Schizosaccharomyces pombe: one gene and its partners. Changing the gene in region 1 together with any one later gene gives a genetic interaction. Each region holds a gene or a part of one and is shown in the gene's direction. Other genes may lie near its edges.

What was found. A genetic interaction does not mean that the proteins touch.
Region 2: mutations in mug113 (region 1) and dim1 together harm fitness more than expected from each alone (negative genetic interaction), as found in Schizosaccharomyces pombe (one large-scale study listed by BioGRID).
Region 3: mutations in mug113 (region 1) and pof2 together harm fitness more than expected from each alone (negative genetic interaction), as found in Schizosaccharomyces pombe (one large-scale study listed by BioGRID).

Annotation. Positions count from the first base shown.
Region 1 is NC_003424.3:2,825,083-2,828,702, reverse strand, and holds mug113 (protein mug113), read left to right. Parts: upstream 1-1,773; 5' UTR 1,774-1,884; coding exon 1,885-2,865; 3' UTR 2,866-3,120; downstream 3,121-3,620. Other genes in the region: palmitoyltransferase complex subunit Erf4, read left to right, coding at 1-37; rit1 (initiator methionine tRNA 2'-O-ribosyl phosphate transferase), read left to right, coding at 16-74, 354-1,656; glutathione synthetase large and small subunit Gsa1, read right to left, coding at 3,240-3,620. UniProt on the Schizosaccharomyces pombe protein: Has a role in meiosis.
Region 2 is NC_003421.2:877,234-880,466, reverse strand, and holds dim1 (U4/U6 x U5 tri-snRNP complex subunit Dim1), read left to right. Parts: upstream 1-1,795; 5' UTR 1,796-1,832; coding exon 1,833-1,867; intron 1,868-1,878; exon of another isoform or gene 1,879-1,917; coding exon 1,918-1,943; exon of another isoform or gene 1,944-2,024; coding exon 2,025-2,065; exon of another isoform or gene 2,066-2,148; coding exon 2,149-2,259; exon of another isoform or gene 2,260-2,312; coding exon 2,313-2,528; 3' UTR 2,529-2,663; downstream 2,664-3,233. Other genes in the region: gpi10 (pig-B family GPI synthesis protein), read left to right, coding at 1-820; sorting nexin Snx12, read right to left, coding at 2,827-3,233. UniProt on the Schizosaccharomyces pombe protein: Plays a fundamental role as a protein essential for entry into mitosis (G2/M progression) as well as for chromosome segregation during mitosis. May play a role in mitotic spindle formation and/or function.
Region 3 is NC_003423.3:2,616,106-2,620,046, forward strand, and holds pof2 (F-box protein Pof2), read left to right. Parts: upstream 1-1,756; coding exon 1,757-2,947; exon of another isoform or gene 2,948-2,983; coding exon 2,984-3,123; exon of another isoform or gene 3,124-3,170; coding exon 3,171-3,231; 3' UTR 3,232-3,371; downstream 3,372-3,941. Other genes in the region: SPOM_SPBC25B2.10 (Usp (universal stress protein) family protein), read left to right, coding at 416-1,339; TATA-binding protein-associated factor Mot1, read right to left, coding at 3,599-3,941. UniProt on the Schizosaccharomyces pombe protein: Involved in substrate recognition in ubiquitin-dependent degradation.

The DNA of each region.
Region 1 (3,620 bases):
TGATCTGCCAAACGAATGGACGAATTCGACCCTTTAGACGCTGTGCAACAAATTCATGTTCAAGCAAGACACCCGTAAGTCTCAATTTGCTATACAAATAAGCTGGCAGAATCAAAAGACTTAGAAAATGATTGCTACCTTTATAAACGCACAAGCAATTAATGCAAATTGTAAGAAAAAACGATGGATAGCTGCTATTAAATTTTCATGAAAAATTTTTAGCCTAATCGCCATTTGTTGGATTTCGTACTGATATATATTTTTGCTGATTTTTACTTGTTTTTCCTTTTTGCCTTGCTTTTCTTTTATTTGTATGTCATCGAATGGAAAATTTGGCTAACACTAATTTCAAGAAAGAATCGGTTGCTGTCAATTGCACACGATGCCAAGTTTGTCGACTCAGTTATAGCTTCGTACCCCACATTTAAACCTGTTGTAAATGAACGATGCGGTACGTGGTATGTCAACCGACGACATGCTCCGATTTCTGTTTATTTCAAAAGTACTGATGGTCATACCGGGCAATGGTCTTTTAGCTGTCGTCGTCTCAATTTGCATTTGCTAAATGAGATAACCACTTGTGATGGATTGATTATAGTAGATTCTACTCGTCGTGGAAAGAGAATGCCCGATGCTCTATCAAAGACGATTCCGATATGGATTGCTACGCTCAATAAATGTGTTTTCGAACGGCTTCGTCCCCATTCCTTTCCTAATGCTCGTTTGGCCTTTTTACCCCCGTTTTTACCTGATACAGAAAAATCATCTATTTTACAGAGGCTAGATGGATTTGTAGATTCTTTAATGCAGTCCGGCATTGACTTAGATGCGTTGGCGGCTAAGCTAACTAAACCCATTCGTCCTTTATGGGTAACACCTGCTAGTCGTTTAACATCTGCACAATTTGAAGAATATTTTACAGTTGTTCTGGTTACTGCAAGTGCTCAAGTACAGAATGGGTACTCCCGAGAACATGGATTTCTTTACGTTCAAGGAGCAGCAGATGACGAAGAAGAATGGTCGCATGGGCTGACCCCTGAAGTCTTTTGGCAAAATACTGAATCTATCCTCACATGCCCAGAGGAGCAATTGGAGCAAAAAATTAGCCTCCTACTATCTTCAACTAGAAACTCACCTACCATGTCAAATTCTTCGTTAACCCATCTTTTACCAACTCCTATATTTGTTGGGGATGTTACGGGATTTTATCCCCCTCCAGAAAATACATCTTACTTTGTTTTGAATTTGTCGAATACCACCCTGAATGTGAAGAATGAACTTTGTTTTCCAATACCGTCAGGAAAAAAAGGTGCTCCGGTGTTTCGCAAGCATTTCCCTTCAATATTGCAAGAATTAAATTCACTTGATCCTCCATTTTATGAGAGAGATGCTATATTTATTGTCGATGAAGGAAATGCTAAAGAAGCCGCCTCTTGTCTTGCATTGATGATTCTTTGTTTATACTACGACCTCCATATGCATTTACTTGCCCATCCTATATCTCTATCTGCATCTCAGTCTCACCTTACCAAGCAAACGGTTCGCCAATTTCTGGTAAAAATTACAGAACTACACTCCAAAACAAATCCCTCACGAGCATTCCTTCTTGCCGTCAATTCCCTTTTACTTAGTGCCAATACTATTGCTACTTCTTAGTAGTGGCACTTGGAATGGCAAAAATGTTTACGGTAAATAAAATAACGTAACATGAATCGTTTCCTTAAACGAATCCCAATGTCAACATTAAGCTCAGTTTGCTTTTTCCGTTTCCCTGATTGTTAAAACTTTTGAAAAATATCTGAAAATACGAGTAATTGAGTTTGTTCATACATTTTAAGACTTTAGAGGCTTTGAAGGATGTTGATATTGTTTGATTAGGATTTCATGAAAATGCCGAATACTCTGCATTCAGTATCAATCTCTACAGATTTTCCTTCCCCAAATGTAGAATCGGAAGCTGCAGACGTGAATGAATATTCCTCTACTTCAAAATTTGAGACATTGGGTAATCAGAGCTCTACAAACCTCGGTTTTTCGAACTCCTTACAAGATAAGTGGGATTGCTGGAAACGGGATTTGTGGTCTATTTGGTGGTCCTTAAGTCGTAAGGCAACGAGATTTTATAGATGGTTGTCTCGATCGTTAAAATGGCGTCCAGTTACTTACGAAACAGTATATCCACAAACTTATGAAACTCAGATGTCAGAGCCTAGAGAAGTTACTACAATTGTAAAGGATTTAAATAATGGGGATTCTTTTGTCTTAAATGTTACTGAACCTGTTGACCCTGAATTTTTGCGTGCCAATATACCTCCTGTTCATCGTAAACATCTTCCACCCAGACTTTCATTAGTCGCTTCTCCGGGAACTATTCCTACTCGTGGAGTTGTTGTATTAGAAGATTGGATTAATCCGCTACTATCCGAAAGATGTAAACTTCTTTTACAAAGTGAGCTTTGTAACCAGGATTCTTATGATTGTCCGGGTTATATCTGCGTTTACAGATTTGAGCAGAAAAATAACCCTTCGGTCGTTTTAGGTGACTCTACCCTCATCCAAATTTCCAGAGTTTCTGACCTTCAGCGACACCTTCGTGAGTACCCTAAAAATTGTGCCTTTTCCAGGTCGGTGTTAGAAATTTTCCCGGATCCCGGCAAAACTTCTAAGCCATGCCAAGTGAGTTTCAAGGTTGAAAGGTTAGTACATAAGGAATTAAATGAGTATCTTTCTTGGATGCAACCTTTTACATGTGATTCTTGTGGATCACTTCATGAGAATTGGCTCCAAATTGACAGTAAACAGTGGGACCAAATTCGTGGTGTAATATTACGGTGGGTAGAGTATTCTCGGGTCATTTATGCTTGAATCGTTTTTTGTTTTTTTTCCTATCTTCTTACTTGTTTTGTTTTTATTTTGAACACAGGAGATTTTATTTTTCTCCCAAAATACTTTATAATTAATATCTTCTTTGAGGCACTTAAAGGATTTTTTAAGAGTTTTTACTGCCTTTTCTGGGTTCCTTTCTTTTTATTATCGCATAACTGGTAATGACTTTTTCGAAAAGTTTAATTAATGTATAATAGTAATATCATCGATTTTAAAAAAAAAATCCGCATCTTGTCTATCATGTCTATTGATATCTTGAAGTAGCAACGTGTTTCAGATCAAAAATTTTATCAACATCTTCACGTTTGTCTCACATTAAATACCTTTGACCTGGTGTAACTGATACACAAAATTTATTCAGAAAGTTCAATACTAGATAAAGAAGCATAGCCTGTTGCAACACCACCTTCATTAGTTTTTTTGGGTTTGGTACGACAAATGAAACCCGACTGTCCATTTTGAACGACTTCGTCAGTCTTGATGTTCCAAACGATCGTACCTAAAATACCAATTTCGTCGACGACATCAAACTTTTCAGGTCTTTCTCCCTTCAAAATATAGTTTTGTGATGGAACGGCATTTATATAGCGCATTAAAATGTAAGAGTCCCATTCTTCCTGAGGCATTTTGCTGAGTAAACCAGGAATGTCTTTTCCATACGTATTGTTTCCACCACCCTCTCGTTGAGGCTTTAAGACAAAGTCCTCGGGTTTTTCGAATGCGAGTTTAATACC
Region 2 (3,233 bases), on another chromosome or scaffold:
CATATTCGTTTTGTGTGTGTCTTTATTTTTAGTTAATATTATTGCTGATAGAATACTTTACGGTCGTTTTGTCTTTCCCATCATTTCGTTCTTTCAATTTAATGTTACTTCAGGCCTTTCCTCTTTGTATGGATTGAACGCATGGCACTATTACCTTTCTCAAGCCCTCCCATTAATATGCGGAGGATTTCTTCCATTCGTATTACTCACAATGGACCTTCAAACAGCGGGAACCATTCTTTGTGTTTTCTTTCCCTATTCACTGATAGGACATAAAGAACTTCGGTTTGTATACCCAATTTCACCGATTTTACTTACTTTAGCTGGAAAATTTTTTTCATCATTTTCCTCTTGGAAGCGTGCAGCACGGTTTTTCTTCCTTATTGGATTGGGACATGCTCTGGTAATTACATTTTTATGCCGATTTCATCAATTTGGAGTCATGGAAGTTATGCCATTAATACATTCACTTGCTGAAAAAAACCAAACTGGTCTAATACTTGCTCCGTGTCACACTACACCATGGCAGTCGCATATCCATTCACCTTTTGCTGAAAATGGATGGAAGTTCTTGACATGTGAACCGTTCGAAAAGCCCTTTGATGAGACGGATCGTTTTTACGAGAATATGCCTACTTTTCTAGATAAAATTAAAGAATGGCCGGATTATCTGATTTTCTTTGAAGAGCGGTTTTATAGCTTATACAGCTATCTTGACTCCCGAGGGTTGAAGTATGAAGAAGTACAGAGGTATTATAACTCCTTGATTCCTGAAAGTCGAGAGAGAGCTGGAGCTCTGTTAGTGTATAAGAAACTCTAATTACATGATTCTTCATACCCCAAAAATTTCACAGGTCAGCATAATTATCTGCATTTTAACAACTATTGATGTATTTTAAATGAAACCACTGATGACTATTACTTGCTTTGGACAATATTTGGTTTATCCCTAAAACGCCAGCTTGATTTCTAGCTCCCCATTATAAACGATTTGCATTTCTATTATGGTTCGTGGATTATAGAGGGGGCCATATCAAGTCTTCACAGAGCAAGAGGAAGCAACAATTTGTAGACGAATAAAGTAATCCTAAGCCATTTACTATTAAAACTTAAGACATGGGTGGAACACTTATCTTCCCCGAAGCCATTATCATGAATCAACATCATTTTAAAATTTTCAACCTTTGGCGACTTTAACCTTTCAGAAATTTTCTTAAATACAAATTTATAGCATATCCTGCACTCTCCAAACAAATCTGAAAAAGAAAAGTTAGCTTACAACGCGAACACCCAAGTCACTTAAAGAATTTGCAATTGTAATTTTATGCTATGGAGTCGAGAAAAACGCAAAGGTCATTCGTCTATGTTGCGATTGGGACTTGAAAAAATAATTTTATACGGCCTAGCTACGATTCTAAATTAAATTTTTTATAATAGTATTTCACAAAATATTTGGAATATTACGGATACTTTAATTTTTAAACACAGTAAACTGCTTAAACGGTCGGTTTCTAGAATTGTAAAAAATTCTGAATTTCATTGTTTTATTAGATGAAGTATGAATATATATAATTGTAGTAAACACATCAACGATTCAACTAAGCATGTAATGTACGAAAGTAATAGCAATCCCACTTGTGTCAAGAATCTCATAACTTCACTAAATTTATTTACTGAATAGCATTTACACTATTATACGCTTTTTTACGTAGAGTTAAAGCATTGCTACATCCTAACGCGCAAAGTGTATATTGTGTGACTTACATATCTACACTATTCTCGTCTGCTAGAAATTACCAAAATATTGCAATTCAGCAGCTTCAGTTGATATAATGAGTTATTTTTTACCTCATTTACATTCTGGATGGTAAGTTTTTGTGATAGATGGATTTATTCTTCTCTAACTTATGTTTATAGGCACGTTGATCAAGCAATTTTATCAGGTACGCGAACTTTAAGAAACGTAGAATGTTTCTCGTTTCACAACTTCGAATCAGCTTATTAACCTTTTTTTTTATAAATAGAACAAGAGCGCTTGGTTGTCATTCGATTTGGTAGAGATCATGTATGTTCTAATGTCGATATCTACTTGGATTAAGTCTATTTAATATTGTAGGCGGATTAATTTACTAACGCGTAACGGAATAGGATGAAGAATGTATAAAACAAGATGAAGTCCTATACAGAATTGCTGAAAAGGTCGTCAACATGGCTGTCATATATTTAGTGGACATTGACGAAGTTCCTGACTTCAACAAGGTAAGTCTAAGTCTTAGTTGGAAAGTCATGTTGCTAACCTTATTACCATCTAGATGTACGAGCTTTATGACAGAACTACAATAATGTTTTTTTATCGAAACAAACACATGATGATTGACTTAGGTACTGGTAACAATAACAAAATCAACTGGCCGTTAGAAGATAAACAAGAGATGATCGATATTATAGAAACTATTTTTCGTGGTGCTAGAAAAGGTAAAGGTCTTGTTATTTCTCCAAAAGATTACTCTACCCGACATCGCTACTAGAAGCCACCATTTGCTTATGCAAGAAAATGGAGAGGGGATAGAAAAATCATAGTAATTTGATAGTTTTTGGCTAAAATGAAAAAGTCTTTTTGCTTTAATTTTTACGCATAATTTGTACTTCAAATGGTATAACCCTTCTTTTAAAGTCAGTAACAATACAGGATTTGAAATTATCTAGTGGATGAATTGTAATAAAGTATTATCAAATCCTATGAAGAAATTACATTATATGATTAAAGAAAAGCATGAACATGATTACTCTTGCTATGATTTAACAAGAGAGGTAAAAAAGTGACACTCAAGTTGCCTTATTAGTTGATCTAGCGTGTTTCTTTAAAGCCAGCAAAATCTCGTCAAGAAGGGTGTATATAACATGAGCGTTTAGAGATTGGTTTTGGAGAATACGAAATATTCTTTTCACAGCAATATCAGGTGTATAGCCGGGAAACATGGAAGCAAGCAAAATCCCTGCTTCTGCTTTCAATTGATTCCTATCAGCATAAGCTGGCTTTCGCGCCCGTGAATGACGGCGGTCTTTGGAGTGATCATGATTAGATTTACCTTCAAGTCCTCGTCTAAACTCGCGTAACTTCCTATAAATCTTCTCAGGCGTAAACAACTGAAACAGTTGTAGTCGTATACGCTTTTCCAAAGCTCCGCCAAAAAGTTGTTCCAATATCGATATATAAGTTTTTTTCGGTAACC
Region 3 (3,941 bases), on another chromosome or scaffold:
AAAATTTAGTATAACAAGCACCACTGGTTTCCTCATAATGTTAGTTTTAAGATCTTGGGCATTAGCTTAGCACAATAGAATGGAGGGTTGACGCGGCCGTTACACATGACTTCACTTATTTGTCCACCACATACATACTTCCGGCAGCTCACTCTTCGTTGTAGGAAATATCGTAACTTTTAAATATTTATACAAATAAAAGCATTTTGTTTTGAAAAAAGAAGTTTTCTAATATATCATTTGAAAATAATAAACGAATTTCCCAAGTTTAATTAAGGCACCACTTTCAATTTTTTAACATTTACTCCGAATTAGAGTTGAATATAGTACCTTGTTTCATGTACAGGGTCTGCAAAATTGTGCAGAGAAATTGATTGTTTAAAAGTCCCAAAATTTAATCAAGTGAGAAGTTTAGATGAGTGAATCTGCACCCGCTGGTTCGAAGGAGGGAGTTTCATTCGGTAATCTCCCTCGTCCTGAGCCACGAACTTCTAAAGACCAGCAGAAGTTATCCATTTCTACCGATGTTAAAAAACCATCTCATTCTGCTCCTGTTACGCCGGTTCGGAGTGCCAGGAGCTCAATGGAACAGCCAACGTTTCGTCCTGTTGCAAAAAATTCCGTAACAGTGGCACCTGCTCGGGCGGCTGGATTCTGTCCTCCACAATTTGAGGAATATCATCATGGACGTTCCCATAGTCTTGTTTCACCACCTCCGAGTCCACATTTTCTAAAAAGGATTTCGTTCGATACGTTTAATAATAAAGCGGCTACAGATTTTTCCCTGACTCTGAAAACACAACATCAAGCTTACAAGTGGACAAGAACGTCTCGCACTTTTTTGTGTGGCATGGATGGCAATTCGTATTCTGAAGTTGCAGTCGATTGGTTATTCGAAACACTTTTAGCCGACAACGATGAAGCAGTAGTATTAAGAGTAATTGATCCTTCTTCCAAGCTAGCGGAGGATTTATCGGATGAACAATCTTACAGATCTTTAGCTGAACATATCATGGCAGGCATACTCAAGAAAGTTGATGATGATAAAGCTGTTTCTATAATAGTTGAACTCGTGGTTGGTAAACCTCAAGATATGATCCTTCGTACTATACACGTTTATTCACCTGATAGTCTTATTGTCGGTACTCGTGGCAAAGCCTTAAATAGCTTTCAGTCTCTTCTTTCTAGCGGAAGCGTTTCCAAATTTTGTTTACAAAAAAGCCCCATTCCCGTAATTGTTGTTCGACCTGATCGAAAACGAGTTCGTTCAAAAAACAAGCGCCTTAAGGACAAAACGAGAAAGTCCTATATGGAAATTTTAGAGAAAAGCGGTCGCTAATACGAATAGTTCTCTAACTTGCCAATTTATGATTAATACTTGCTTTATGACATGTAATATTTAATGCGTTTGATAAATTATTCGCAAAACGGTTGAACATTGATTTCTTTATTGTCTATTTTAAAAAAGAGCAAAAAAAATAAAGCTTTAATTTTTTTTGTTCGCTAAGCTAAAGCGTGCGGAATTTTAATGTTTAGAGTATATCTATCGTGTATTTGAGATTTCTTAATGTCAATTAATTTGTTTGTCTCTGGATTTAACTATGATAATTTGGAACATGCGTACGTTATGCTGCGTAATTTAGTTGAAATGAAAATTGTTTGTTTACATCCATTTATCATTTTAAGAATTTACGCTTTATTACCAACTCACATATTTTTCATTTATTCCCTATAGAAAAAAAATTTACCTTTACCAATGCGGGTGCCTAATGAAGTTTGTTTTAATATATTATCATATTTGGAAGCCGATGAGCTAAGGTGCAAATCGACAGTTTGTACTTCATGGAGGAATTTTATTATACCCACTTTATGGGAAAAAGTAGTATTTCAAAACGAAGCTCAATTAAATAACTTTTTTGATACTTTACAATACTCCAAGGATGTTTCGTACTATTTCAGGTATTTGCGCAAGCTGAATTGCTCTCGTGTTAGGAAATTTCTTACCGATAAACATTTAATGTTAATGACATTAGCAACAGGGATTTCTCGTCTGAATTTGTCTGGATGTACTCGCATTTCCGAGCCTCTTATTGGTAAACTGTTGTATCAGAATTTGAACTTGGTTACTATAAACTTCAGTAATATTTTCTCTTTACCGGCGAATATACTTGAATATATTTCTGATAATTGCCCTAATTTAAAAGCTTTGAATATTGGGAATTGTGGGTTAGTAGAAGATACCGGTATGGTTCAGATAATAAAACGTTGTCCGTACTTAAATCGGCTCATTATACCGAATTGTCGAAAGCTGACTGACGTCTCATTACAAATACTTTCTGAAAAAGAAGACCTGATTGAATTAGATATTAGTGGATGTGAAGGCTTTCATAATGCGGATACGCTGTCTAGGTTGGTCTCCAGAAATCGAGGTTTGAAAGAATTATCTATGGATGGTTGCACAGAATTGTCACATTTCATCACTTTTTTAAACTTAAACTGTGAATTAGATGCAATGAGGGCATTAAGTCTTAACAATTTACCAGATTTGAAAGACAGTGACATAGAATTGATAACTTGTAAGTTCTCAAAATTAAACTCTCTATTTCTTTCCAAATGCATTGGATTGACTGATTCGTCACTTTTAAGCTTAACAAAGCTTTCTCAATCTTTAACGACTCTTCATTTGGGACATTGCTATGAGATAACCGATATTGGTGTTCAATGTCTTCTAAAGTCATGTAAAAATATAACTTACATTGACTTCGGTGGTTGCCTTCGTTTGAGTGATATAGCAGTAAGTGCTATTGCTAAGTTGCCATATCTTCAAAGAGTAGGTTTGGTCAAATGCATTTGCCTTACTGACCTTTCTGTAATCTTACTAAGTGGGTCTTTTTCCAGAAACCTTGAACGAGTACATCTTTCTTATTGCATTGGACTAACCGCAAAGGTATGTAAAATATGCTATCTTTTCTAACCAAATTAGTCGGTTAGTTATTTGATGTATAACTGTAAAACGTTAAAGCATCTTAGCGTTACTGGAATTAACTCTATATTATGCACAGAATTGCGATCTTTTTCCCGTCCAATTCCAGATGGAATAAACCCGTCCCAAGTCCCGGTATTGTAAGTCTGTGGTTTTGACCTCTTAATAGTCACTAACTAATATACAGCTGTGCGTTCACTAAGGTCGAGATTGATTTGTTTCGAGAATTTATTCGTAATAGAATATAGAAATCAAACTTTTCACAGTTTCATTTAAGGCTTCAATTGACATGATGGCGTGCTTGTCCTTAACTATTCAATAATAAAACATTTTATAAAAAACGTTATTTACTCCGCAAGGTTTTTTTTTTTTTTTTTTTTTTTTTTTTTTTTTTTTTTTGATTGAACTAATCAGCAGATGGTAGCTATATATTTACAAGTACAAAAAAGTAGATTTATTACATATTATCAAAAAAACCTCTCACTCTTACAAAAGATAAGTTAAACATAGTTTCTTAAAAGAAAACCTATTTTATTGTACACCTTTCATATTGCATTACCATTCACATTAGTTAATAATTAATTTTTTTTATGGGGGTTCCATACTAACTCCTGTTCAAGAAGCATCCTTGGGTAAAGTAGATATGAAACCATCCAAATTAAATTCATCATATTGGGATTCATCCCACATTTCTGGAAGCCCTTCAAGAGCCTTTTTAGAAGTACCACTTAGACCGCGACCTGCCGCATCTTCCGATTCTTCTTTGTCAATATTTTGTACAGTTTGTTGTTCATCAGCAGTAGTGTTAAAAAGGTCTAAAATCTGATCGGTTCCAATTGAAGAAAGACCAGCATTTTGCTGATTAACAACCGTTGATGCCACGTTCATTTTAAACCTCTGAAGGCCCATTATTTTTTCCTCAAGACATCCTCGAGTGATTAAACGATACACATTCACC